Linked DNA regions of Kluyveromyces lactis. The protein of the gene in region 2 binds, or shares a complex with, the protein of the main gene of each other region. Links are inferred from orthologs where the notes say so. Each region holds a gene or a part of one and is shown on either strand. Other genes may lie near its edges.

Region 1 (3,095 bases), on a different chromosome or scaffold from region 2:
GAGAAAAGATAAGAGACGATATCAATGGAGAATCACAAACACATGATTGGACTAAATTTAACGAGGCATTGCTGGATAACTCATTATCTAACGATAATGAAATTGGATTATATTTCCCATTAGGCGAAATTGTTCCAAACATGGATGCTGTCACTAAAAGATGTTATTTCAAGTACATAGACAATAAAGTCGTATTGACAAATGTCAATATGTTCCCTGATAAGAGACTTGATGCAAAGAACATTGTAGAATCACAAGCGCTAAGTTGCAGAGTGAGAATTTCCCCGTTGTTATCCGAAGAGGCCAATGCGATCAACGAAACACAAGTGCTAAAATCAGAATTAAAGGTGAAGTTCGACTATGATTTCTTCCCCTTAGCGTCTTACGCCAAGAGACCTAATAGAGCCTTTTTCGTCGGTGGTGCATCAAAGAACGAAGCCATCATCAAAACGATGGCTAATGTCATTGGAGCCAAGAATGGTAACTACAGACTAGAAACTGCAAATTCGTGTGCTCTAGGCGGTTGCTACAAGGCGCTATGGTCCTTGCTCAAGGAGCAAAACCCCGAAACCCCATCGTTCGACCGATGGTTGAACGCATTCTTTAACTGGGAAAGAGATTGTGAGTTTGTTTGTAACTCGGACGCTGCCAAATGGGAAAACTACAACAACAAGATTCGAACTCTAAGTGAGATTGAAAGAGAAGCGTCATCACACTAAATCAAAAACGCTGTTAGATGAACCTCCAATTGACCGTGACGCATCAATAGCCATGATGCAAGTAAGTAAGTAAGTAAGTAAGTAGGCAATCAATCTTTGTACACATGATGAACCTCTCAAAGACATTACCCGGAAATCGTTATCCACTGTTTGTGAAAAAAAAAAAAAGTGTTATCCCACTAGAGACGACACAGTCCCCCACCCGACGGTTTTATACCGTTGAGATGAGACTATGGGAAAGGTTTAGAAATAAAGTATATATGTGAAAGATTGAATTGTCCAAGTACACAGAGCTTTGAACAAAGTTCAATTGAATACTTTTGTTGTCAATTGTTTCTGGGAGAAAGACGATTTTATCGACAATCTATTGGTAGAAAAAACGAAGTCTGTAAATTGGAAACCTATATTCGTCATTCAGCGAAAGAAGGTGGTAATTAAAAGTATCATTTACAATAGATAAGGACGACACAGATCAGAAAAGAAGCAAAACCATCCTTTGTTAGGCCTGTACGGAAGATATAGGAGAGAGACTGTAGTGTGTTTGTTGAAAAAACCTGTATTCAATAATGTTCCGTTTAGCAATTAAAAACAGGGCGTGTCTCCGTCAATTACACCAATGTAGAACTATGTTGAAGGCCCAAGCCTTTGGGATGCCTGCCATGTCACCAACCATGGAAAGGGGCGGTGTCGTTGATTGGAAGTTCAAAGCTGGTGATACTTTCTCTGCCGGTGATGTGCTCTTGGAGGTTGAAACCGACAAGGCAACCATTGACGTGGAGGCACAAGATGACGGTAAGCTTGCCAAAATTTTGAAGGAGAACGGTGCCAAGGATATTCCTGTCGGGGAACCCATTGCATACATCGCTGATGTGGACGATGATTTGGCCACTTTGGAGTTCCCAAAGCCCGTTGAAGCCAAGAAAGAATCAAAGCCAGTTGAAACTAAAAAGGAGGAGGCCAAACCAGTGGAAAAAACTGACAAGAAGAAGCAAACCAGTGCTTCAAAAACACCTTCTAAGAACGGCAGTGTTCAGGCTAATGCATCTCAAACATTATTCCCATCTGTGCTATCACTACTAGAGGAAAACAATATTTCAACTGCAGATGCGTTGGACAAAATCAAGGCCACTGGTCCAAACGGTAGAATCTTAAAAGGTGATGTGCTAGCCTATTTGGGTAAGATTTCCCAAGATTCGTTGAACAAGGTAACCGAGTACATCAAATCCCATGAGAAATTGGATCTAACCAACATCGAATTAAGACCTGCTAGAGAAACTGCAGCAGCAGCAGCAGCAGCACAAGCTGCTAAACCCGCTAAACCATTACCTCTAGTACTAAGCGAACAGATCACACTCCATGTCCCAGAAAACGTCACTTACTCCCAACTATCTGCTGCGATAGCATCGTACGTCAAGGAATGTTCATTCTTGGCACACGACGAACCATTGACCAATGACGCATCCGAACTATACGACCCATTATTCGAAGAGTTACTAGTACAAGAACCAACAAAACCTCGTTTCAAGGTCACTTATAACATAGTAGACTTGGAACCTACACCAAGACACCGTACCTCTTCACCACAACCAGATATCTTTGATTTATTATCTGGTACAACAACGCAAGAACTACAACAAGAGGCATCCGCAGTATCCAAACAACAACAAACACGTCACGAATACGCGTTGAACGTTTCCGTCGCCGTTGACGAATCGTTAACGGATGCCAAGCAAAGAGCAGAAAATTTCGTTGCCCAACTATCTAACTTGGAATTGTTCCAATGAGTAAAATTACGACAAGACATAAAGAGGAAAAAAAAACTAGAAGAAGCCGAAGCCAAATCTTCTTCGAAATATTCATGCCCCGTCCGCAAGCTGTATAGACTGGACTTAAGAGCCGGCAGATATATATCTATATTATCAGTATAATAGACAAAAAAACGACAACTCAAGAATTCAACCAAACAGGCACTTCAGACTTCTTTATGGTCTTGGCACAGTAAAGAAGATCAAAAAGTAACATCAAAAATTACTGCATCATATTTTCGCAGAATACCAACCTGGCACCAGTGCCCTATTCAGACTAAGCAGCTTTCCATTCCAAAAATACCAGTAGCCTAACTAAGCGAGATGCAAGCGAAATGCGAGATGAAATGAAACCCAAATAAAAAAAAAAAGACACAAACAAACAGGAACAAAATTGCGCGTTTTTCCCCACAGAACAGCACGTAATGTGTACCGTTTTTTGTTTTTCGTTTCAAGTACAAAAAAAACAAAAAACGGTACGCTGTTCACGTGTCTGAAAAACCAGGAACCGTAAAAGGATATTCCGTTAGCCAACAAAAAAATAGGTAAAAAGGGAAAAAAAAATCCAAGG
Region 2 (3,359 bases):
GTTAAAGTTCAACGAGGTCAAGGGAACTGAGCCTGCAATTAAGATACATTACCTGGTCAAAGTGTTAGCACAAACTTGTCTTCTTTTGTAAACATTTTTTTTCCAACTTTATTCCTGTATTTCGGGCAATGTAAAAACAGTCACGTGGTCTAAAATATTAAAAGAACCTTGGGGACTGCTATGAGAGAATAAGTTCAGTAGTATATACAGTAAATCGGAGAGAGTGCTGTTATGCAAAGCGATTGCGAGGAATGGTAAAAACATGAGATATTCAATTTCTTACATTATATCTATAGAAATGGTAATTTTTTACATAGTTGCAGTATGTTAAATCGAATTCTTTCCATGCAAGGTTGTGGGTCGAATAAGTCATAACTGACCTACAACGTTGTTAAAAGGAAAGCGTGGCTATTGGCATACGGTCGAAAAACTTCGACTAGGAGAATTCGTTTTGGAATGTTGGTGGGTAGGCTTTTTTCTTCTTTACTTTGAAATTCTTAACTTTATTATTTTTGATCATTAGATTTGTTAGGTTCTGAATCTGTTCATAACAATAGTTCCAATGGGTTTTCAATAACCTTCTTCAATTCCTTCATGAATTCACCACCCTTAGCACCATCGATAGTTCTGTGATCGAAAGTACCAGTGATATTCATCTTTTGGTCAAAGGTGAAGCCGAATTCGGAACCAGCATCTTCGACTGGGACCTTGTTAACGGTACCGATAGCCAAGATGGTAGATTGTGGTGGGTTGATGATAGAGGTGAACATGGAAACGGCAGGGTTCATACCCAAGTTAGAGATACAGATAGTACCACCTTGGAATTCTTCTGGCTTCAACTTATTATCCTTAGCACGCTTACCTAAGTCCTTGATTTCCTTAGAAATGGAAACAAGGCCCTTGGATTCGGCGTTCTTGACGATCGGAGTCAACAAACCGGTTGGGGTAGCAACAGCGACAGAGACGTCAACGTTCTTGAACTTTCTGATGACACCTTGTTCTGGCATCCAGTAAGCATTAGCATCTGGACATCTCTGAGCAGCAACAGCAATGGCCTTGATCAAGATGTCATTGATGGACAACTTGTATTGGTCTTTAGCAGTAGCGTTCAAGGATTGTCTCAACTTCAAAAGCTTAGAAACACTAATTTGAGAGGAAACAATGTATGATGGAATATTTTGAGTGGATTGCAACAAACGGTCACCGATGATTTGTCTCATGTTACTGATTGGAACATCTTCATAAGTGGCGGATGCTGGAGTTGGGGCAGCTAGGGCTGGAGCGGCCTTAGCAGCGGAGGATTCACGAGATGGAGCCGAGGCCAAGAAGGCTTCAACATCATCCTTAGTGATTCTGCCTCTTGGACCAGTACCTTCAACTTCCTTCAAGGAAACACCATGTTCCAAAGCGATGCTCTTGGCCAATGGAGAAGCAAAGATTCTAGTACCTGAAGAAGCAGAAGATCCAGAGGATTTCTTGGCAGCTGGTTTAGAAGCTGGTTTAGCACCTTCCTTGGATTCTTCCTTGGATTCTTCCTTTGCAGGTTGCTTAGCACCATTCTTGGCAGCTTCCTTAGCAGCGGTAGCAGATTCGGCGTCTGCAGCAGTGAAATTAGCGAAAGCTGGAACGTCAGATTCTTCCTCAACGTAAACAGCAAGTGGCTTGTTCACTGGGATATCCTTGGTACCAGCTGGAACCAAGATCTTAGCCAAATAACCTTCTTCTTGGAATTCGAAATCCATTTGAGCCTTATCAGTTTCAACTTCAGCAAGGACATCACCAGGCTCCAACCTGTCACCAACGTTCTTACTCCATTCCGTCAAACCACCTTGAACCATGGTAGGAGACAAAGCTGGCATACCAATGATGGTGTATGGTGGGTAAGAAGCATACGTTCTCAATTGAAGTCTGGCAGCACAAGCCAAGACGCTCATTCTTGGAGCAACTCTAGAAAGTAATGCAGACATTTTTCCTAGTTCTTTTCTTAATATATGTACACAAACAATTGATTCGTTCCCGTAACTTGGTTAATACAATTGAATATCAAATGTAAGCCGATTTTATCTTCTGGTACAGTCAATTCCTGTGTCCAATTCGTAGTGAAATGTAACCTTAATAAATATTGATATCTCAGTTCTAAATGAAGGAGGAAAAGGCTTGATGTATTATTTCAATCTTCTTCTTTCAAGCGAGATCAATTACCAACAGGTGTAATCAGTGTTCCAATAGTATCGTCAAATGCACTAGCGAATCACAATCATTTTTTTTTCTCTTGTGCAATCTAATCGATGTTATTTACAGATAAATGTTCTCCCATCTAACCTTTTTCCTTTTATTTCTTGAGAATTTCAGTTTTCAGAATTTTCGAAATCCAAAATATCCACACTATAATGGTGCGACGGGATAGAAGGTGGGATGAACAGAAACATGCCCGTGATCCGCTGCAAACTGATAGCTGCTAGAAGGGTTTCCGTCGTGATAGTTATAAAGCTTTATATAATGGTATTTCTCGAGATGATATTTATCTCAATCCCAAACCTGCTCTTGAGCTGTATAAATGCTTTCACAATTGATGGAGTAGAGTAACTTACCGATTAATATGTGGTGTAGGGAGTTTACTAGTGTCAATTTTTGGCTAGTGCCAGCGGCCTAAACGGTGGCCACAATTGTGCCAGGCAATGCAAATCTCGAATGCGGGTAGCTTATTTCGTAATCTGATGACAGCGTCGCGACTGTCAATAGATAAATTCATAATACGTTGTATATATAGATAGTAGGATAAATGGAAATGAGTCAGGGTTTACTGGTACCAGGAATCAAGTGTAATAGGTCTGTTTTTCTGTTCGGGTGCCCACTGCATTTTTTTCTTGGTCATTGCGTCTTCTTCCCATTCTATTTCGATGGTAGATTTACTATTTGCGAGCATCGTGGCACATGTTTGCCAAGAGAACCGTACCATGTAGGGAGACCATCCCATCAATGGTTTCATCTCGTTTCGTAGCCATTGAACGGTTTTTGAGTCACCAGGATACCCTGACCCAAGGATTTCATCTTCGGTTTTCTTGCATTGTGAAAGGATGATATCTCTGGTCACTTTTGCTACCACACTCGCAACACTTACAATGGGGTAAATAGAATCAGCCTTTTTCGCAACGGTGAATTTGCACTGTGGGAAGATACTTTCCAATTTCTTTTGATACGAGATAGGCGGACCCACGGTATCGACGTACACGTGACCTACTTTAACACCAGATTTCAATACATCGTCTATCAATGCGATTGTCACATCGTGCGCCTGTTCATTCAAATTGTAATTCTTTTCTGGTGGGAACCTGAACATCCCGCTGCTGATATCACAT

What was found. The genes of interacting proteins can lie anywhere in the genome.
Region 1: the proteins of LAT1 (region 2) and PDX1 are in contact, whole or in part, in a cryo-EM structure (PDB 8OHS), measured with the Neurospora crassa proteins. The link is inferred for Kluyveromyces lactis from reciprocal best matches to the Saccharomyces cerevisiae genes LAT1 and PDX1. Residues at the interface, in XP_962786.1 of Neurospora crassa: Lys263, Lys266, Leu267, Gln269, Ala270, Pro453, Leu454; in XP_956161.2 of Neurospora crassa: Leu323, Gln326, Val327, Leu328, Lys332.

The regions. Positions count from the first base shown.
Region 1 is NC_006041.1:864,319-867,413, forward strand, and holds PDX1 (Pdx1p), read left to right. Parts: upstream 1-1,285; coding exon 1,286-2,503; downstream 2,504-3,095. Other genes in the region: XKS1 (xylulokinase), read left to right, coding at 1-719. UniProt on the Saccharomyces cerevisiae protein: Required for anchoring dihydrolipoamide dehydrogenase (E3) to the dihydrolipoamide transacetylase (E2) core of the pyruvate dehydrogenase complexes of eukaryotes. This specific binding is essential for a functional PDH complex.
Region 2 is NC_006042.1:462,562-465,920, forward strand, and holds LAT1 (dihydrolipoyllysine-residue acetyltransferase), read right to left. Parts: upstream 1,968-3,359; coding exon 546-1,967; downstream 1-545. Other genes in the region: ribonuclease H2 catalytic subunit RNH201, read right to left, coding at 2,801-3,359. UniProt on the Saccharomyces cerevisiae protein: The pyruvate dehydrogenase complex catalyzes the overall conversion of pyruvate to acetyl-CoA and CO(2).